Linked DNA regions of Rattus norvegicus. The protein of the gene in region 1 interacts with the protein of each later gene in a biochemical or structural test. Links are inferred from orthologs where the notes say so. Each region holds a gene or a part of one and is shown in the gene's direction. Other genes may lie near its edges.

Region 1 (7,599 bases):
ATTAGTAGAATAACCCCCACAGTGTAATCTCAGGATTTCATAACTGGGGCAACCTTGGATATATAGTGCCTTATTTTAAAGCACTTAGAATTCCAGTCATTCATAAAACGCTGCTGTGTGTTATAACCCCTGTCTGCCAATGTGTCTCCTCAATTCATACACCATAAAGCTCAGAGCCTAAACTATGCATGCCTTAATGCTCTGTGCTGATTTCAAGTGTTACATTGTCAAAGCAAGGGTTTACAGTCACCTTTATTTTCTCAGAAAAATAAAGCACAAATACAAAGCCAAAATCTCTCTAAAGAAATAAAGCTGTATGTTGAACTTTTTAATATTGTTTGAGTTACTTATAGCTTTGTCTGCAGTATATAGACACGCTGTCAGTTGTCATGAAAGCATGGCGTCCAATGTCATGAGAGCAAGTTACCAACCCACAGTTCTCACTACTTTACCATGAAAACCTACCCTGAGTACTAGTCTCTATGCCTTAAAGGCTGCTTCATGGTCATGACAATGTATCCATACCATTACCATGACCACAGCAAGTTTTAAAATTGGTGCGCTTAATTATGCACCTATCTTATTGCTAAAGGCAAAAGTTATTCAACAAGTATTTTAAGTGTTCCTTCCAAATATAAACAGCGAAAATGAAGCTCTATGCATCAGAGATGGCACCCTGTTTCTAGTGGTAGATGTTTCTTGTGTCCTATCTCCATACATCGTTTCAGCTTTCACCATCTGATGTCCTGTTGTGTTGTCAATGTTGATGTGTGGTTATTAGAATAGCATTCACTGTTTTTCTTCACACCGCTGTGGCCTCCATTCTTACAAACTCCTATTTTATAGATCTATGTAAGAGCACAATTTGAATATGATCCAGCCAAGGATGACCTCATCCCCTGCAAAGAAGCTGGCATCCGGTTCCGAGTTGGTGACATCATCCAGATTATTAGTAAGGATGACCACAACTGGTGGCAGGGTAAACTGGAAAACTCCAAAAACGGAACTGCAGGTCTCATTCCTTCTCCTGAACTTCAGGAATGGTATGTTTTTGTTACTTTATGGTGAAACTGAGCCCTCTCTTCCAGTTCTCAGTTTCATATTTTATATTATAAAATCCTTTTCTTTGGTAACTATTTAAGTTCCAGTTGTCTAAGATCAAATCCAAACGTCAGTCGTCCAGAACTTCTCAAACCTGGAGAGGTTATGGTCAGATACTGGTTCCAGTTAGACCCACACTTTATGTATAAGGAAAAGGGGAGAAGACAAGCTAAGTGGATGGCTTCAGATCATTTGGGCAAAGCCCTCAACTCCCATAAACTGTTCTAATCTTTTTACAATGGTCTTTTCTTCAGTTGTATCACTCTGTATCCTTCTATGACCACCATACCTCATCAGGGAAAACGCTTCAAGAGCCATGATTTGATGTCACTCAAGTTATTTAAAGGTGCAGCCTGTTCCACTGTTGGAAGAACGCACAATCAGAGGCTTTGTTCTTGGCCTTACCATTCTTTAAGACTGGTTTTTTGGAGTTTAGGGGTGGGCAGCTCAGAAGTAGATGCTTGCTATATAGAAGTATTACCCTGGGCTCCATGCACAGAACAAGAGACAGAGACAGGAAAAGAGGATCTATTCTGTTAGAAAGCTTACACTGTGAAGCAGGGTGAAATGAGACAGGCATTTTAAACCCTCTTTAATTGCAAGAAGACAGGACTGTATCATCTATTAAATGTCCATAATCTATCCTCTTAAATATGTTCCCAGTATCTATCAGAAATCTACTACAAGAAAAGAGTAATTTAATACCTGGGTTTGTTTTATGTAACAAAACCTAACCTGCCAAAAACTGGAATTCTGCCACTCCCTAACCTATACCCCACAAAAATACTTGAACTTAGTTAAAAGTAACCAAAAATATTGAGTCTATAAATATTTCCACTTTTTCACCAGTTCTTTTCACTATTAAAGTGTTTTCTTGGTTGATCTCTTTGGCTTGATTGCCCCTTTCAGCTCTCTCATGTTCCCTAAAACTATTCTTACATTTGAGTGTTAAAGTAGATGAAGGCTTCAGATGCCATTGTGCTACAAATGGGGAAACGGGGCCCAAACAGAGAAGCAACAGCCTGCCATCTGGCACTGTCTCTCAGTCTGATCTTGTGCAGACAGTTTAACATAAGCAGGAGAAAAGCAGTTTCTAAGTCTTTCTGATGTTGCTACTGTGAATTATACATTTCACAAAATGTCTTCTAGAGAGCAGTCACATGAGCATTTATTCAGAATAACCATGTATGGGCTGGGGATGTAGTAGCTCAAGTGGTGAAACTCTGGGTGTGATTCTCAGCACCAAGTAAAGCAGGTGTGGTGGTGCAGGCCTGCAGTCCAGCACTAGGGAGGCTTAGGCTGGATGCTCAGAAGTTCAGGGTCATCTTTAGTTATAGAGAGAGTTTGAGACCATCCTCGGTTACAGGGGCTGTACTGAAAGAAATGTTAAGGGAAGAAAAACAATAATTACATAGATTGCAGATTTCTTTCTAGTTGCAGCAGTGATATAAATCATGAGCTCTTAGTCCTCTGCAGAAATCTGAAGAAGCTGCAGAAGGAAAAGGAGGTTTGCTTCTTGTCTCTGCTGAGGTCTGGACTGTTCAGACCAATCATTCTGCTGCAAAGAAAAAATGCTGCAGAAACTAAAAGGGTGTTTTATTTTGCTTTGTTTTTTAATGAGCTTGAAAGTGCTGAATAACTCAAATGGTGATGGGGAACCCAACAACCAGTTCTTCTATGAGAACCTTTCCTCAAAGCTGTAAGCAAAATCTTAGAGTACCAAGTGTCCCGTCTTACCAAGAAAGCATTCACTATTATGCCAAAGAACCAAGAGTAAGACCACAGGCTTAAGGAAGATGGACAATCTATGAGGAACCCTTCCTCACATTGTTAGGACCACAAAAGTTGGTATACCAGAGATTTAAAAAAACTGGGAAAGGGGATAACATTTGAAATGTAAATATATAAACTATCCAATAAAAAATTAAATAGAATAAAAATTTTAAAAATACTAAGTAATTGACATTAAATGTTAGTTTATCAAAAAAGAAAAACAGAGGCTGGAGCATGGTAGCATATACCTGTAATCCCAGTACTCAGGAAACTGAGGCAGGAGAATTTGAGTCCAGTCTGGCCTGTATAGTAAATTCAGGACCACCCTGGACTACATGAGACCCTGTCTCAAACAAAAAAGGAGGAGGACTCTAGATTATTTCCTTGTTTACAGGAAAATAGGACATATTAAAGACATAGAGGCACAGTTTAAAAAACAATTCAAGGGGTTGGGGATTTAGCTCAGTGGTAGAGCGCTTGCCTAGGAAGCGCAAGGCCCTGGGTTCGGTCCCCAGCTCCGAAAAAAAGAACCAAAAAAAAAAAAAAAACAATTCAATCAGCTGAGTATTGTAGAACCCATCTGAATCCCTGTACATTGTGCACTAAAGAAGGAAAATTTCTAGAAGTTCAAGGGTAACCTAATCAACATAGTGAGATCCAGGCCAGCATGAGCTACAGAGACCCCCCTCTCAAAAGGAAAAATAAATTCGACTCTCCTGAAACTACAAAATATAAAACTGGTTTCTAGTTTACTGAGACAAGGGTAGGGATATAGCGCAATGATAGAATGCTTGTCTAGAACTATGTAAAGCCTTAGGGGGAATTTTGAACTGGGAGTGGTAACTCATGCCTGTAAATCCCAAAGGAAGATAAATTTAAAGCCAGCCTCATTTTCAGTGACTTTGAGGCCAGCCTGGGCTATATGAAATGTAGTTTTTAAGAAGAAAATAAAAGGTATCAGGCAATATGGTACACATTTGCAGCTCCAGCACTTAGAGGTACAGGCAAGAGCATCAGCCAAGTCACCCTTAGCTTCATAAAGAGTTTCAGGCCACTCTTCGGTATTCAAGAAGCTGGCTCAAACAAAACAACAGAAAATTCAATAAGGCTTTAAAGAAGACAGAGAAACATTGCATTAATTGACTGTAAGACTCAGTATTGTAACGGTGTCTATCCTTCCCACATTAATTGTACCAGTGCAATCTCAATTAAAATTCCAAGCTTTGAAACTGACAGACTAATTTTAAAGTTTACATGAAGAGGTTGGAGAAATGACTCAGAAAATAACTAAGAGGATTAACTATGCAGTCAGGAATCCGAGTTCATATCAGCACCCACATAGCAAGCCAGGTGTTTCCCTCTAACCCCAGCTCCTAGGCAAGCGAAGACAGGGAAATCACTACAACTTGCTGATTTTCAATTTATCCAAGAAAATATGAGGAACAGGTTCAGGGAGAGAACCTGCCTCAAAGGACTAGGTAGAGAGTGACAAGGATACCCAACACTTAACTCATACATACATACATACATACATACATACATACATACATACATACATACATAATTATCTTTAATTATTTGTGCCTAGAAACCCACAAATTCAGGAATGGCCAGGATGTTCTTGAACAAAGAACAAGGTCTTATTCAACCAAATATGAAAACTCACTAAGGTATAGTAGTTCAGAAATGCTAAGCTAGACCAACTAAAGAGACAGAACCATAAAGCACTTTTAAACCTAAATAGCTCCTTTCTGTGTAACTAGTAGCATAGCGCAGCAGTGAAGAATGCTCTTACTTTTTAGTATAGCCTGCTAGAACAATTGAATATCTCTAAGAGCCAAACTAACTGGTAGAAGGCAGGGCTTCTTAACAAAAGAGAATGGACTCCTACTTTACATGATAAGAAAAAAAATTCTTACACAATAAAATATGAAAGACAAAACTATAAACTTTAAGAATTTCTGTGTGATTTGTGATGCAGTTTAGTTTATCAGAAATATTGCTTGGGTTGCTGTATAAGAAATTCCTAGAAACTTGCCTGATACTAAGCACTAAGCACTTAAAACAGGCTAATGCGTAACAAATCAGGTTGCAAAACAGGCCTGCCTTGACTCACAATCCCTTGATCAACACCCTGAATCTCACAACCATGTATTAAGACTTCTGACCCTTATATCAGCTAATGTGGACCCAAGGAACACAGCAGTTTTAACATAAGCCTGTAGTCTTAAGCCATTCCTAAGGGTTGTCATGAAAGCCGAAGAAGCCTCTTTATGTCCATGATGTCCAGAACTGAGGAGGGATAGTCATCCTGTTGTGTGTAGCCGTCAAATGACTTTTTCTCTTTTTTCAACATAAAACTATGATTAACTTTGTTGGATTTTTCCCCCCTTTCTTCCTTTCTTCCTTCCATTCTTTCCTTCTTCTCTTTGTGTACTAGGCGAGTAGCTTGCATTGCCATGGAGAAGACCAAACAAGAGCAGCAGGCCAGCTGTACTTGGTTTGGCAAGAAAAAGAAGCAGTACAAAGATAAATATTTGGCAAAGCACAATGCAGGTAGGAAAAGCATGTCTGTTTCTGAGGCGGGGTCCAACATCTCCGAGACCTAAACAGATACAGCATTTACATTTGCTCTTCAGAGTTCTCTTTCCAGAACATTGTAGCCTACAAGACCTTGACCAACTTGCAGATGTGTTCAGAAGCCGTGCCTCCTACCAGTTAGTTTGTAGAGCTCTACTTTCTAGGACAGAGGTGCTGTTGGGAGGTGGCACCCCTCTATGATGAAAGGAGCTCCACAGGCTAAGTCCTCCCATGAGAAATAAGTGCTGGGGTGCGCTGAGTCCCTGGGGTTCTCTCCTCTCTGACAGACAGACATTGTCCTTAAGAGGATAACCGTCCCTCCTAGTTCCTCTTAGTTCTTGGATTTGGACCCCTGACAAATATTAGAGACAAAGATACACAGAAGGGCTGTGCTACAGAGGGTTCTGTAGCTGATTTGAAAGGGCATGGGTAACATGGATACTAACTTGGGTTAGTTTCTATGACTATTCACCTTCCCCCATTGTACTTTCTTTTTTTTTCCATCTTTAATAAATTGGGTATTGCTTATCTACATTTCAAGTGTTATTCCCTTTCCTGGTTTCCATGCCAACATCCCCCTAACCCCTCCCCCTTCCATTCTATATGGGTGTTCCCCTCTCAACTTCTCAAAAACACAAGGTGATTAGCTAGGCTCTCCCCTCTGACTGTATTGAAGCTGGGGTTCAACTGAATCATGGGGTTGACTGTTGTGTTAAAACTGAAATGCTCACCAAGTAAAGTGTGATCGGTTCTTGCACTTGAATTCCCAGAAGACTCACAGGATATCATTTAAGCTGAAAGAAAATATGTGACGGTATACTTAATTTCATTGACTTCTCAATAAGGGACTTTTCCTGAGGAATTAAAGCTTAGCATTAGCTTTGTTTCCAAGATTTCAGAAATAACTCCAAACTATCAAGCACTTGGCCCAAAAAAGCCCAGTGACTGCAGTCATCCATGTGCAATTCAGTCCATCTCTCTCTGGGAAATCTAGAAAGCAGCATTCTCTGTGCAGCATTCCAGCATGCATCAGCATGTGCTTGGAAAAGTTCTTTAAGACTTCTGCAGTCTCCTTTCTTAACCAGAAATTAAATGTAAGCATTTGTGAACTGCCGTATAATCCAGAGTGAATGTGAATTTCCACATGGATTAAACTGGAATGCTCAGTTAAATGAGGGCTTTTTGCCTTCCCACCAGTTACATTATGCACACTTATTCCCAATGAGGAGTATACTTGGTTTTGTATTACCACGGTGCACTAGCCACACAATGGCTTTTGTGTTTGTTTCATAAAGGAAAGAAATACATAAAGCCATGTATGTAAATAGACACTAGCAACCACTCTGTTCAAGTGGCACTGTTTGAGAAACTAAGTGTTCAGCATCAGCACAAGGTAGCTTAGCTGAGATATCAGACTTACTGCCAAGTCTTCTTACTTGCCTTCTCTTCTGTCTGCTTCCACTAGTGTAAGACAATCGAACCAGCACACAGGAGATTAGTTAAATCTAAATCACATTAGTTAAATACAAAACAATTAATCAGCTGGGAATTGTAGTAAAGTATTTGCCTAGCATATGCAAGGTCCTAGGTTCCATCCCCAGCATCCAAATGAGAGAGGAAATTTTCTAATTTAACTTGTCATTTGTATAGTGTTAAATGATATATAAATACTGATGACACTAAATTAATTCAAACCTACAAAAGCAAAGAAATAGCCAGGTAAATCTGCTAATATTTCATTATTTTTATACTCTACTAATTGGAAGGCATGTAGACATGAGTATTCACTTTGTCGGTATTCTTTAACTTGACTCTGAGGATAACTAAGTGAATTGATCAGAAAACCTGACCTCTCTAACTGTTGACAAAGACTTAATGAAATCATTGGTCGAAGAATTGTGCCAGAGAATCAATATCCAGTCTGACAACTAGTGGTTCTCATTTCCTATGGTTCATGTTTTCTGTTCTTGGAACACTGGGTATCACTGTGCTCCTTCCATCATACCCATTTGGATCCCCAGTGGTTAGTGTAAACTATTCCTGCAGATGTGACTATCAACCTAATAGGCAACATGAGTCAAGATCATTAGTTCACCCAAGCGAGTGTATGACTTAGCTCACTGAGGCCTTCAAACCAAGCAATTA
Region 2 (7,699 bases), on another chromosome or scaffold:
GTGTGTGTGTGTAAAACAAAGAATCAGAAGACATCAGTTTTAGAGGGACCAGGCAGTCAAGCATAATGGGATAGAAGAGAGGTGCCATGGGAAGTTTGGAGGGAGAAAATGAAAAGGTAAAGTACTGTGATTTTATTTCAATTTTAAAATTAATTGTAATAAGTTTACGTTTAATATTGCTTTCATACCCGCTTCTCTAACAAGCTCCTATGACTGATTATTAATTGCAAGTATATTCTTCTACATGCACTAAATATCCTTTTCTGACTACAATGTCTTAATTTGTGTTAAACATCAGATTGATCATTAATTTGAGAAAATATGTGTGAATTTCTCTAAGCAAATCATTTTCTAGATTTTCTCCAAATAACACTAGACATTCCACAATTTTATGAACACAAAAATAAAGTAGTATTTTAGCAATATTAAGCGTGTACTTTTCCCCTGTCAGTCTTCCTAACTATTAATGTTTGATTATGATACTAAACATTATATAACACCCAAGGCCTGAAAGATTTGCTAAGTCCAGATTCCAGACAAATGTTATATACACCATGTTTTAGTGTAACTTTTAGTTCTTTCTCACTAGATTAGGAATCTCAGTCTTTTAGATATATTCTATTATCTTCAACAAAACTTTTGGAAAGGTTTCCATAGGGTGTAGTGTATGAGTGACAGTATTCCCTTTCTAAATGGGTACCACAACCAAATATTTACCTGCAACACATACATGAGATGCTTCTGGAGGCCAAAGGGGGCCTTAGAAGTCATCAAAATGGAGCTAAAGACAGTTGTGAAAGGCTGTACTGGTGCTAGGGCCTATGCTCTTGACAGAATTGGGTAGTCTGTATTCTAAAATAAAATTGTATTTTATGGATATTCCAAGGCTTATTTTTCTATGACAGGTGACTGATGTACAGTGCCCCATTCAACAAATGTTTTTGCTTAAAGATAGTATTAGAGTCCAATTATTTTAGCTCTTTTACCACTTAGCTATAACTTTAGTGGGATTCAAAATACTTTCTTACATAATAGACATCAGTAGGCCTATTGACAACGTTTCAATTTCATTATCAGTATCTGACTAAGACAAACAAACTTCTTGATTTCACTCATACTAACAGATATATTCATAACTTTCTACCAGATGTTCTTCATCATGTCGAACTGACATCTTAGAAACCTGGGCTCGAATGCATTTTTCTTCTGTCAGGTTGTTTCTGTCAAGTACTTGTTCATAATGATTGAAAGGAACTAATCTTTTTTCTCAAAAATATTGCAATTCGCCTTGCTTCTTTTTCAACCATGTCCATATATTCTCTCTGTGTGCCATTGCCCGGAGTTTTACAACCCTCAAGATTTGATGTACTTTGTATCCAGCTAATGTGACATTTAAGTTCTTTGCCAAATATATTCAATCATTTTCAAACACAATCACTGACCAGACTCCAGTCACTGAAACATGGTTATCATATATAATTGACATCAGCAAAGCTATCTACTGCCCTTCAATTATATTATCAGTATCTTAACAAGACAAATAAAAAAGAGTTTTCAACCTTCTTACTAACAGACATGAATTTACTTTACAATGATTTCAATAATAAAATAGTGTGAAAAATAAGAATAAAGCATTAGCACCCATGAAATCACTATTGAAGTATTATTGTTTTCGATATTTTGCATGTCTTCTAATATTAGGAATCAAGATTGAGAAGCAAACATAGCTGTGTAATGTTGTTCATGACGTCACTCAATTCATTTAGTAACTTCTTTGGTCACACATAAAATCAGCCCATGTTAGAAAGCACGAAAACGACACAGTTTGGTCTGTGCCTCTTAAAAACACTAGAATATGTTATTTTATGTTTGTTTGATTTGGGTCATTCAAAGAAATGATGATAAACTGATTAGAATAATTTTAGAGAAAATTATTTTATATTAGGAAACAATTAAGTAGATAATATCTAGTAAGGCTGTTTTGCTCACGATTATAACATGTATATTAGGTACAAATCTGCTTATTGTACATCTGGAAAGAGATACATTGAAGCACTAAAAACATAATACTCTCAATTGCTCCCTTTTTCAAAAAAAAATTTACCTAAAGTACTTTAGAACCACCTTGGTGGCACCTAATACAATCGTTAAACTTGAAAGTCATACTTAAACAATTGACTCTTGTAAAAAATTGTGCTCTTTGACAATGTATTTCTAATGTTCTGTCCCTTTAAACTCTTGGAATTGGTTGATGAGAGTTGTATATAGAATTCTGGAATGTGTTCACTGACATATCGGAGTTGAGGAATTCAAATAGAAAAAAGACATTTTCTAATTTGCACAAATCCCTATTTTATGATGAGAAGAGTGACTTAAAATGTGTGGCATAACATTGTTCTACTCCATCATTGGTCAACTATGTTTTTTTATTTTTACAGACTTTACTCAATCTGTAGTTCTTACTAGAACTTAAAATCAAATAAGGGGTGGGGGGAGAGATAAATTAATGCTGACTCAGGCCCTTTAACACCATACTGATTATGTAGTGAACACATAGCTCTGTTTACAGTAGACTTCTCTAAGATATAAGCATAACATTAAAATTCACATTCTATTCACAGAGTGGGGAAATCATCACAAAAATTTATTTATCACAAAAGGCAAATGTATGTTTATTGCATAACTCTGAAAGACAGCGTTACTCCTCCTCAAACCTCCCTAAACATCATTAGGTATTTAGAGATCTATAATTCTTAATTGTGTCAGTAAAGGCTGTGAAAGGATTGATTCTTTGGGGAGGAAATAATACAAGTACTTTCTTGGACTGGATGCTAGGAAAACAAATCAGTGCAGAATGTGGCTAGATAGGAGCTGAGGGGTAAGGTTGAGAATTATTAGTAAAATCATCTAAATGATTAGAGAAAGCAGCATTTCTATAGACCTTCTTAGTTATTAATACTTTCAACACTTAAGCACACCGAAGTAATTATCATTTGACAACATATTTACTCTACCTTTCCTTTTAGGGTTGTTTGTGTTTGTGGTGTGTGGTTTTCTCAGCATCATGTGTTTGGTGAATGTGTATATATGTATGTCTGCATCCATATATATATATATATATATATATATATATATATGGAAATGTGAATTAATTACATTTAAAACACCTGAATTAGGTACCTCTGAACAATCCTATCTTTCTCTGCTACAGCCAGCCAGGATGTTTAGACCTGTCATTTGGTGTTAGGATCACTCGGAAGACCTGCCTTTCGGACTCCTGATTGTGGTTCTTGGGAGTTCTAAGCTCCGGGAGCCTGTACCATCTCTATCTGAAGGGGAGGAAAGAAGCCAAAGAGAAAGCATCCCAGCAAGAGGTTTTTCCCTCCTACTGCTGGGTCAGGGACTAGCCAGGTCTGGAGCAGGGTTCTTAGATTACACAGCAAATCAACTTCAGCACCGCGGACAGCAGCGCCTCCCGCTTAGACTGAGGTGCATCTCTTCAGCCTTGGCCCCGACTCCAGTTAATGGACCTGAGCCACTAGCTTCCTTCTCTCCTTTGCTTCCAAAGCAAACGAAGGCAGGGCAGAAAGGTTGTTACAGCAAGAGGAGTGCAGTAGGAAAAGAAAAGGAGGAGGAGGAGGAGGAGGAGGAGGAGGAGGAGGAGGAGGAGGAGGAGGAGGAGGAGGAGGGGCCGGGGAGGGGAGGGGAGGGGAACAAGAAGGGAAGAAGCGGGGAAGCTTCCCTTCGCCAGGCTCGCCCGGGTCTGCAGGCGCTGCTGGAGGCAGCAGTCTCCAGCTCCCGGCTGCGGTGGTAGCTGCTGAGCTCTCTCTCCAGCGATGCTTCTTAGTGCCGCGCCACGCTGAGGCCGAACGTGTACGGGGGCTTGCCTCAGCTCCATACATCCTTGATCTCAGCCTGGGAGCTAACAGCCTACTGGAAAACCCTCTGAGTCGCGCTGCCCAGTGGCCACCCAAGCGCTCGCCCGCAGTGGCAACCGCAGCATCACCGGACCCATCGCTCTCGGTTCTTTCCTACGGTCTGAGTTCTCTCCAGATTTCCCCCACGCGTCCTTTGATTTTTTTTTCCAGAAGAGAGGGCGGGGTAGGTGTCAGTCCCCTCCTCTCTCTCACCCCTCCTATTCCTTCTCGGTTTGAATTTCTTCCCCTGGCATTTCACTGGCTCTCAGAGCAAGAGACCAGACCCACAGAGAGGGGAAAGCCAGGCTGCGCCTCCCTTGCTGCTGCCAGCCCAGAACTGGAACCTAGAGAGGGTGAGGGGAGAGGAAGCAAAGCAGGAGGAGCTTGGCTTCCTCTCGCATCTGAGGACAGACCGGTTCACTTCAAGAACCTCACAGAGAGGCAGACTGCATCTCTGCAGCGAGCTTTTGGAGTACCACTGGCCCGGAGGCTAAGGATGGTGATTTCTCTGAGAGCAGGCTGCAGGGCAGCGCTCTCGCTCTGGATTCTCAGCAGCTTCATCTGCAGAGCCTGGACAGCTCCCTCCTCCTTCCGTAAGTAGCTCTCTGCTTTCCTGGCTCCTTACTGGAGTCACTTCAGTGCCGCATTGATGTAAGGGCGCCCGGGTATCAACTCTGAGGTGCATTCTCAATTCTTGTCCCTCATGTGTGTGTGTGTGTGTGTGTGTGTGTGTGTGTGTGTGTGTGTGTGTGTAGGATACTTCCTGTTTGTAGCCACTGCCGCAGAGAAACTCCAAACCGAGGAAGCTCCTTGTTCAGTGGAGATTTTCATAGTGCTGGATGCTTCTGGAAAGTTGTTTCTAGTCTTGAAGATTGCTCCGCAAGTGCTTGGTTAGAGTGATGAGAGTAGCCGTTTCTTGATACTTATCAGTGCAGTATGGAGATGATTACATATTACTTAGGACAGAAAACTAGCATAAGTTTTTGATTTTTATTGATGGCTTTTACTTGTGTTGGTCTGAGGAAGAAAGAGGAACATATTTCAAGCAGTTTGGGCACCTATGCGTTTACTAATCTCTTTGGCCCTCCTAAAAAGTTAATGCTCATTTAACCCTTCCTTAATTGTATGTATTTTTAAAGTGAGGCTAATATCGAGACTGACACTGCACTAATTCCTTTGTGGTTTGGAGTAATGAGCATGACTCATGCAGGCTAGGACTTGGGACAGCCAGTGCAATGGCATAAGAGATGGTCTGAAAGTTTTTAAGAAAATGATGTAACTGCTCAAAAATTTGTGCTTTTAAGGAGGGGGGTGGAAGAAATGGAAGATCTGGCCAATTTTATGCATTGCTTTAGAAATTTATACTGTGTATGAAGAGGGGAAAGGTATAGTTGGCTTTGTCTGAGAAAGAGTTAAACGCTGGACTGATTCTGTAACACTTTGCACAGTTTTCCTAAGCATAGCCTTGTTTGTGAGATTGGGTGAGTCCATTGTTGAAGGAGAATGGAGTTCAAGGGGAAATATTCTCCACTTAGGATACATAAGTTCAGAAGTTTCTAGATGCTTCACACATGATTTGCACCCCATACCTCTTTATAGATTCTGTGGCTGCATTAATGTTCACCTTTGTCTGTATTTCCATATTAATATAATTATTACACCGTATAAAATATTCAGAGCAGCCATGAAATAGTTTTCTTTTATGTTTTGATTGACAATCATCACCAGTGCTATGATTAGTAGTATTTGGACATATTCCCAAGTATACGTCATGAGATTCTTCTGCGTTGTTTAAAGAAAGAGGTGGCAAAAAAGAACATAACTAAGTTTTTGTGAACTTGAAACTTTTATTTATCTCAAAATATACACAAATCTAAAAATATGTGCTATTTTATCTGTGTTGATTTTATAGACTTAAATGGAAATTGTAAAGCTACCTTTAGTAAGTTATGTTGGTGGAATTTTAATTTTCACTTTAAAATATGCTTGTACAGTGGAATGGAATTGGCTTCCACGTTTTGTACAGACTTACTAAAAGTTAAAATACGTTGTACTTTCCTGTTAGAGTCCTTATTTCCCAGTAGCTTCCAGAATTCTGTATCTCATCTTTCTGTGTGTCTGAGTAGAAACGGGTCGATCTGAATCATTCACTATGCATCCAGAATTTTATATTTGCCCTTATTGCATTGGTATAGTTCAAAGATTCAAAAGTTATTTCAGAAATATGAGCTTAGCTTTTGCTGCTTAGAATTCAGTGAAGAACAACACCAAAGTCAATATGTTTAAAATTCTCGTGTTTGAGCTTTAGGGTTCATTTAATTGTTATTTCAAAACCTAAATAATTAAAATATATTAGGTTAAGATAAGGTTTTATTATATATGAATACGAACTCTGAAACACAAACAAAAGTTGCCTAAAACATCAGAGTGAGGATGGTAATGAGTGATACCTAAATTTACCGATGATATGGAATTCTCAAATTTATTTTTGCACATAATGAAAAATATGCATTTTGTGTTGTATTTTGAAACACTGCATGATACTTATGTTTTTAATACGTAGAAATGCTTAAAGCAGAAAAATTGTAACTCCATGAATCTAAGTTAATGAACATCTCAACCAGGAGGGGTCATCATGACACAGAAAGTAGTAGAAAACTCTAAAAGGAAGAGTCCATGTAGTCTGTGTTTGGAAAATACGATGGCTATGCTCAAACATCCTGCTTCAGAATAACTTTGTAGTATAGAGAGGCATTCTCGTATAGATGATTAATAGTTTGAGTTTTCTATTATACATTTCCAGCATACCCTGGCTTAATGAGTTTTTCTTTTTGCTGATCTGGGCATGTTCATATAGGTTCTACATCCTGTGTTTCATGCATTTCAACTTAAATTAAAAGAAACATATCTTTTTGATTGAATGAAATATGATCTATTTATCTGTGATAATAAGAATGATGCAATCGTGGTCTGAGAAGTATATGCTTCCTTTCTTGTGAAGGCTCCTATGAGAAACTCGGAACACTTCACCACTAGGGGGTAAATTGATTAGACCATGCTTTTAAGACTTACAGAGCTGCCCTAAATGATAAGGGGCTTAAACTAGGACTTAGTAAGTTTGATCCTTAAATATTACAGAATTTTTGCTTATGTAAGTTTTACCAATAAAAGCTAATTTTTATGATTCTCATGGAGTCATTCTCATATGATTTACCTGACTCACATTGCAAAATGAGTTTTTCTTGTATTTAAATAATCTCATAAATATACTGTTAGATGAAGTATATACATGCTTATATGTGGTTTAAATATATATCATATAATATAGAAACATAACATATGAAATCAAATAGATATCAATAGAAATGTAAATGTATACATATTTAATCTTTGTAACAACATTTAAAAATTTTATTTTACCATTAAGGTCATAGCTAGGCCTTTTTCTGTATAGTTTCAAGTGGCTGTCATAAAAATATGAGAATAGTTTATAGATCACTTTTTACTGAAGTCATATATTTTTCCTCTAAGTGGTATTTTCAAATATAATCAGCCAAAATAATATGAAATCAAATGTCATTATAATGTTTCTAGTTCAAACAGAATGATTTTGTTAGCCAAAAAAAAAAATTAACTGAAAACATGCTTTTGAGAAACAGGACTCATAGGAGGAAGGGTTATATTATTTTTAGGTAATGCAAATCAGTAGGAAAAAAACTGTTAATTGATCAGAGTTAAATACATATCTTTCTTTATAGGCATTAACACCTAAACTCAATGTA
Region 3 (7,699 bases), on another chromosome or scaffold:
AGAAGTTCACTCAGATCAAATGAGGTTTTTCTCCCATTGCTCGAATGCCCTGTGCTTAACATCAAACATCCTTCCAACATTCTGAAACACGTGTTCGTTAAGCCCAGAATGCCCTTCCTCTGTTACTGCCTTAGCCCGATGTGTTAGGTCGGGCTGAGTCTTCTCCTAGTTAAAGGTCCTTGCAGACTAAAGGTGGCTGGGAGGGTAGCAGGTGTGTTTCTGAACGTGCTACGGGTGTACTCAGTAATAAAAATATCAACAAAGTGCCCACGAGATACAAGCTCTCTTTTAGGTGGTGGGGAGAAGGCAGTGAACAAGTTGGGCAAAAGAATCCATGGCTTCACAGACTAAACGCTGCAGCGGGCAGGGACGGAAACGATAAAAATCATCAAGAATAGCGGCTCGTACCTGTAATCCCACCCCTTAGGAGGCAGAAGGTGGGGTGAGGTGTGTGTGTGTGTGTGTGTGTGTGTGTGTGTGTGTGTGTGTGTGTGTGTGATGAGTTTACAGCCAACCTGGGCTGTATTGTGAGCCTCTTGACAGCCTGGGCTCCATAGCAAGACTATATCTGTACAGGCTGGAGAGATGACTCATCCGTTAAGAGCACCGGCTGCTCTTCCAGAGAACTCAGGTTCTGTTCCCAGCACCCACGCGGCAGCTCGCAACTTCTGTAACACAAGCTCCCGAGGATCTGATAATCCTCTTCCAGCCTCTTTAGCTACAAGGCGTGCACGTGCTACACAGACACCCCACGCAGGCAAAATAACCATATATGTAAAAAAATTTAAACTAAGAAAAGTAAAATGTACCAGACAGTGGTAGCAAAAGCCTTTACTCCCAGCACTAGGGAGGCAGGGGCAGGGGCAGGGGCAGATCTTGGAGTTTGGGGCCAGCCTGGTCTACAGAGTGAGTTCTAGGATGGTCAGAGAAACTCTGTTTCAGGGAAAAAAGAAAAGAAAAGGAAGGAGGGAAAGGAAGAGAAAAAGCAAGAAAGGAAATTAAAGTCTGACTTCCAGCTTCATGCTCGTCAGCACGGTCTTGAACATCCCCCTCAAAGGTTAAGGGTCAAGATGGTTCTCCTGCTGCTGCAGCCCCTCTCAGTCCTTAGAGGCTTGGAGAACTAAACTAGGATAAAGTCCGCTGGCAGTTGGTGGGGGAGATGCATTCCAAGATACTCACTGGATCCCTGAGAATAACAGAAGCCTGTGCATACTCATACACACACGTTTTTTTTCCTAGAAGATACTTCCTATAACATTTACTTTTAGAGGCAGGGCCTTGCCTTGTACCTCTGACTGACCCTCAAACTTGTAACACTCCTGCCTTGACCTCCCTGAGTGCTGGGATCATAAGAGTTCACCATTATACCTGGTGACCGAGTTTAGAGATTAGGCACAGAGACTGAGGAGAGAATTTAGTTGGTAAAACACTTGCATACAAGCCTGCAGGCCCGAGTTCAGTCCCCACTGCCCACATAAAAGGCGAGGTGGTGGCATGTGCTGGTACCAGCTCTGGATAGGCAAAGACAGGAGGATCTCTGGAAGTCGCTGGCTGGACAGCCTAGTGTATGGGGAGCTTTAAGTCAACGAGAGACCCTAGCCCAAAGTTTACCTATGTCCTCTAAGCACATGTATACACACAAAAAGGCATACGTAAGTTAGGTACAGGAAGAAATTAACAAAAATAATTAGCAGAATAATTAGGCAATTGTGACGGCATAGTTATGTGAATGTGTGTCCCCTTCCTGTACCATCGTCTGATCTTCTTTCCATGGGATTTGAATGGGAAGGGACTGCGACTGCTGGTGTGGGTCCTGCTCCTACGATAATCTTAATGATGGAGTTAGACCTACTGCCTCAGGGAACCTTCTTGGGATTCCCTGCTTGCTCAACTTATTGTGAGCCTGGGTACTGGGGAGGTGGATGGGGCATGCTGGCTGAGGGGGAGACGTGTGATAACCTCCATCCCAGAGGAACCTGCCTAAAACATGATTGGTTAGAATCAGCAGGGGCTTTGGCCAGATGGGATTTCTAGAGAAAATAATTGATAAAAAGAATCAAGTATTTCTCTGATGACTCTAGAGTCAGGTTAACCTTCTGGAAGAAAAAAAAAAGCATCTGTTTATTACCCAGCCAATTGAAATGCCTTACCAGGCCCTGGCAGCATAAACCAATTGCAGGGCTGCTATTTAACCAGAATGAGGCCCTATGTACTGTACAACATGTAGCTAGCCCTTGTCTGCAGCTGAGCACAGGGCTCAGCTCAGTCTCTAAGCCACCTTCACCCCCGCTCATCCCCACATACACCTAGTTGTGCCAGCCCACCTCAGCCAGCATGTGCTCCAGGTAACAACTATCTTGCTGAGGGAAAAATGCCTACTTTTCTCTGATGTGTCACTATGCTAATGTGAGTTCCCCTGGTGCTCTCTCCCTCTAAGGACAGTGTCTGTTTATGGACTGAACAAACCGCTCTCTTATCTCTCCTTCCCTGGAGAAACTTGAACACTCATAGGTTTCAGGCTTACTATCTTTCTTCCTCAGAGGTCTACCTGCCCCTTATAGAAAAACTGAATCCGCCCTGTGCCATAAACTGTTAGCCTGTTTCATTCTTTCCTTACCAGGAAAAGCCTCTGGGAGGGCTTAGCTCTGAGACCAAAATTTGGTGCCGTAGGTTTCCAAATTTTCATACCACTGAAGGCTGAACATTCTAAGAGACCTTTAATCAGCTTGTCTTCCTGGTTTATAAGTGTCTGTGTTGGAAGTAGATGGCACCCAGGCAAGCCACCACTCTTCTCCCCCTTGGGTCTAGATTCCTTTTCTGATTCTTCTCACATCTTACAGGTAAGAGAAGACAAATGTATTCTGTAATCAGTCAGCCCATGAAGTAGGGGGAGCATTAGAGGTCATAACTTTTTATATGCGAGTTTCTTAAGTTAATTTGTGTGGCTTGATTTAGAAGAAGTAAGACTTAAAGATAATGTTTCTGGGAGAAAGTCTTACCAGTCAGCAGGCCTACCTCGGGCTTCCCATGAGTCTGGACACTCAGCTTAGGCCTCAGTTCTCAGTTCCGTTCAGACACCAACTGTCATTTAAACCCTTCTGCTGGAGAGTAACTTGCAGAGCCTGGATCCTCATGGCTGCTCTAATTGTTTCCTTTTGTCTTTTTTTGCATCTCTATTCCAGAGGCCTAGCCATCATCGTTATCCAGGGAGCCCTCCTCTTTCTGCTGACGCCACCCTACCATCGAAACTGCTGGTTGTTGCTAAGGTTGCCCCCATGGTAACATGCCTATCCTGTTTACACTTCTATATGAACAAGTAGTCTAAACTAGGAACCTACGTACTCTGGACAACCATTTCCGTCTCTACCCAGAGGACACCAATCATCGTGACACTACGTCCGTCTTCTACTAAGTTCCCCCAACCTCTTCCTCCTCTCACTAGTAGACTTAATACAGAAGAAAGGATCTCTAGGCCTGGTGTTGCTACTCTGAAACTTATTGCACAAGATATTGTCAATTTATCCCCTAACTGGGCTCCCAGAGAAGAAAAAAGTGGGAAGAAACGAAGAAGAGAAGGCAAGAGACACTGCTCAGTTAGAGGGGAAACTCTACATCTTCTCTGGTTGAGAGTCTGGTAACCGAAGGCAAGATGACGAATCCATCAGGACATAACTTGCCAGCCAACTCGGTAGCTGAGAGCTATGAAGGGGAGTTTGGCTGCACCTTAATGGACCTGAGGAAGCTCATGGAGCTTCGTGCAGCTGATGCAGTGACCCAGATCAGTGCCCACTATGGAAGTGTACAAGAAATCTGCGCAAGACTGAAAACCTCCCCTGTAGAAGGTAAAGGCCGTTTCAAGGGTTGGGGATTGGAGGACAGTGACTAGAATTTTGAAATATTATGTCTAGCTTCTAAGGAAAGTACATTTCTGGAGACCCAATAAGTTGTTTTTTGTCTGGTGGGAAGAGCAGTCATCTAAAGCAGAGATGGCCATTGAAGAGAGGACATGAGGAGCGTTCTACAAGTGCCATGTTTAGGAACCATGATTCTCTAAATCATTCTCTCCTCCGATTTAAGTATCAATCCATAGTATGGCGGGCTCTTATTGGTGATGTAGATGCTCTTGTTAGTATGATCAATTTCCCCGTTCTTTCAGATTTTGATTCTAGGAGAGCATAAGATGGGTATCTTCCTCACACTGACCTTGAAGTTCAATGGGTGAGAAAAGACTACAGGATATAGTATTGCAGCCATCTGAGTACCTTATTGTACACAGAAAATGGGATGCCATATTATAAATATGTCTTTGGACAAATTGGCATTGTCTGTCCTGGGGTTACTGATTTTTTTTAATCCTGTATAATAAAAAATTTTCCCTACCATGTAGGGACCAAACCCAGGACTTTGTACAAGCCCCACCACCACCACTAAGCTGTAGCCTCAGCCCTCTTTTTTACTTTTCAATCTAAGACAGATTCTCACTGCATTACCCAGACTGGACTTGAACTCACTCTGTAGTGTAGGCAGGATTTGAGGTTATGATTCTCCTACCTCAGTCTCCCATTTGGTTGGCCTCAGAGGCCAGGTATATATCTTATACCCTTTGAGTTCAGATATTGGAAATAACGTTTATACATTGCCCACAGGGTTACTGGTATTAAGTAATACAGTGCATATGTGCACACGTGTGTTTGCGTGTGCATGTGCAAACTGATAATAGGTGTTGAATAAATTAAATATAGGCCATATTCCTGGAGATTTTGCTAAAGTGTGAGTGGCCATGAGTTTCAAAGAAACATAATCTGCAGTGTGGCTAAGGTATGTGTGACTGCAGCTGCTGTCTATTCTCTGTGATCCTTGTCATCTCAGAGGCCTGGTTTTAGGATGACAGTGCTTGGGTGCTCTCAGTCAGCTCCCTGGGCCTTCTAACGTGTGTCTAATACTACCTTTTGGATACCGTCCACTTCCTGCAAGCTGAAGTCTTTGTTTTTGTTATTGTTGTTGTTGTTTGGAGGTTTTATGATTGATTGGTTGATTGATTGATTGATTGATTGATTGATTGATTGATACAAGGTTTCACTTCGTAGCCCAGGCTGGTCTCAAACTTAAACAAATCATCCTGCCTTGGCCTCCCAATCACTAGCACTAGAACTTATAGGCATGCGCTGCCACACCCACCATCCCCTCCTATGTTTGTTTCCCTGGGACAGTCTCACTTTGCTAACAAAGTTGACTGGGAATTTGGGACCCTCCTGCTTTAGCTTTTTCTAAGTGCTAGGATTGCAGACATGCAGCACCATGCCTGTCCCCTAAGTGACTTTCTCAGTGACTTATACAGAGTGTAGGCTGTAAGGAAAGTCTGTACCTCCTTGTGCTTACCTGAGACACTACAGGTGTTTACAGACCTACATCAGAACTGAAGCTGGATCTTCCTGTTTTCCTTCTTTTATTGTTCTGGTCAGATGTTTCTTTGACAAAGTGGGACTTGGGGATCCAGTAAGCTAGAACTTGGGGGCTCCTCAGAACAGGATCCAGACTTTCCTCCCATCTCTCTAACCTTCTCATATAGCTATGACAATTTACCTTCTCTAAGAAGCCAGTCTGTTACCAGAAGACCATTCACAGGCCTCTCAGCCTCCTATGATTTTGTCACCTGTGGGAGGCTCCTGCAGATTAATAACGGGAATACGAGAATGAGTCTAGATTCTAGTTAGAAACCAACATGAAGTAAGTTTGAGTAGATTGGGGTCAGGGAGCGTGCACTTAAAGCCTTTCTTCCTCAGGAACTGAGAGGAGACACTCATGAACCTGGATGTTTGAAACTAGCCTGGCTAGGGAGCAGTGGTAGTAGTAAGGAAAATAGAGTGCCCCCTTATTCTTTGATATTTGCTTGGATTGAGCACATGCTTAGTGTAGATAGAACTCTGTAAATTATAGCTAAAATGGAGCCTTGAAGGACCATGAGATTTTTTAACACTAACATGGTTTTGTTAGCCTCTGTTTACACAATTCTAGAGGCAGATATGACTTACTTTTAAATTAAGTTTTCTTACCTTTCATTAACTTTGTTGTTTGACTAGCACTTAATTTCAGAATTTTCTGTCTAGGCTGAAGGGTTTTAATGACCCACCCGAGGTCTTTGTAACGGGTAGAAAATAATGGAGCAGTTTCTATATTTTGACCTACAGTCTATCAATATTCTGTTGCCTCTTTTGTACAGAATTACAGAGGACTTAAAAATGGGTTTTGCATTTTTAAAAGATGTTTTATTTGTGTGTATGTGAATACACACAAATAAATTTGAGTAAGTTCATGTGCATCATGAATGCTGGTGCCTTAAGTTGCCAGAAGTTGGTGTCATGGATCCCCTGGAACTAGAGTTCCGTGCAATGGCGAGTTGACATGTGGGTGCTGGGAACCGAACCAAGATCTTCTGCAAGAGCAGGACGTGCTTTTAACTGCTGAGCTATTTTTCCAGCCCTGGTTTTGCATTTTAACGTCTGGTAAAACATGGCATTGGGCCCAATGCTCATGCTAATACTGTTCCTGCACTGCATTAGTGTTGGAGTGAGGTTGCCCCTCAGGCTAGAGTAGGTCAGAATAAAGAGGACCTGGGAGTGGGGATCTGGGTTACTTCAGCATTTGACTGTGACTGGCCACAAGGTTTAGAGAGTGACCAGAAAAGAGGAGGGACATTTAGAGAAATAAGAAAGGCCAGGAAAGATGTAGAATAAGCCTCAGGCACCAGTCTACATTTGTTTGTTTGTTTGTTTGATGTTATGTGTGTCAGTGCATTTGTATATGTTCCATGTGCAAGCTTCTTGTTGCCTGTGGAATTCAAATAGAGCATCAGGTCCCCTGGAGCTGGAGGTACAGATGGTTGTAAGTCATCATGTGGGTGCTGGGAACCAAACCCGGGTCGCTTAGAAAGGAGCCAGTGCTAGCCATCACTCCAGCCCCAAGTTCTCAGTCTTTGTGGTTTTATATAAACAACTGTGAAGACACAGGGCTGGGAGCTTAAAGGACGCTTTGTCAAAGCCAGCTTGTCATTTAGCACCGATGGAACCCTTCTCATTTTCTTGCTTCTCTCCCAGTTCCAGTTCCTTTCTTTTAAAAAAAAGTTTATAATATCATATCATCAACTATATCTAATAGTGGGCTACAACATTTTCATACACATGCATAATGCATTTTTATCACATCTGCCATCACCTTCTCTGGTCCCCACCTCCCTACCCCGATCACTTCGTCTTCCCAACTCATCCCCCTTCTATTCTCACTTCTCATGTCTTCTTCTTCTTCTTCCTCCTGGTCTCCTAAAGACCCATTGGACTTCACTAGAGTTGTTACATAAACATGGGTGACAGATCATTTACGGAGCATAGGTACCCTACCAGTGGGTACCTGCCCTAGAGGGAAAAGGTCTCTGGCCTCTCCCATCCCACTCTCACAATCATTAACTGCCCATAGACCCTCAGGGAGAGTTGGGCCTCATAAGCCCTTCCTTCTCCCATCCCAACTTTTCTTGTCCGCTTCCGCTTGACAGAAAAGGAGAAGGGAACATGTGTTGAGTCTGACTGAGTGGGGTTCCCCTTGCCTCAGGGACAAAGGGAGGCATGTTCTCAGCCTTCCATATGCCCTCTCTGTCACCGTACCCCAGTTAGGGGAAACATTGTTTTCTGGGGAGCAGGTAGATTGG

The links.
Region 2: the proteins of Cask (region 1) and Cntnap2 form a complex in vitro, tested with the Homo sapiens proteins (2 studies listed by BioGRID and IntAct, with this or other methods). The link is inferred for Rattus norvegicus from reciprocal best matches to the Homo sapiens genes CASK and CNTNAP2.
Region 3: the proteins of Cask (region 1) and Atp2b4 form a complex in vitro, tested with the Homo sapiens proteins (2 studies listed by BioGRID and IntAct, with this or other methods). The link is inferred for Rattus norvegicus from reciprocal best matches to the Homo sapiens genes CASK and ATP2B4.

What each region holds. Positions count from the first base shown.
Region 1 is NC_086039.1:11,884,408-11,892,006, forward strand, and holds part of Cask (peripheral plasma membrane protein CASK), read left to right. Parts: intron 1-846; coding exon 847-1,043; intron 1,044-5,314; coding exon 5,315-5,430; intron 5,431-7,599. UniProt on the Homo sapiens protein: Multidomain scaffolding Mg(2+)-independent protein kinase that catalyzes the phosphotransfer from ATP to proteins such as NRXN1, and plays a role in synaptic transmembrane protein anchoring and ion channel trafficking.
Region 2 is NC_086022.1:75,105,644-75,113,342, forward strand, and holds the start of Cntnap2 (contactin associated protein 2 precursor), read left to right. Parts: upstream 1-3,714; 5' UTR 3,715-4,413; coding exon 4,414-4,510; intron 4,511-7,699. UniProt on the Homo sapiens protein: Required for gap junction formation. Required, with CNTNAP1, for radial and longitudinal organization of myelinated axons.
Region 3 is NC_086031.1:47,754,660-47,762,358, reverse strand, and holds the start of Atp2b4 (plasma membrane calcium-transporting ATPase 4), read left to right. Parts: upstream 1-3,482; 5' UTR 3,483-3,649; coding exon 3,650-3,842; intron 3,843-7,699. UniProt on the Homo sapiens protein: Calcium/calmodulin-regulated and magnesium-dependent enzyme that catalyzes the hydrolysis of ATP coupled with the transport of calcium out of the cell. By regulating sperm cell calcium homeostasis, may play a role in sperm motility.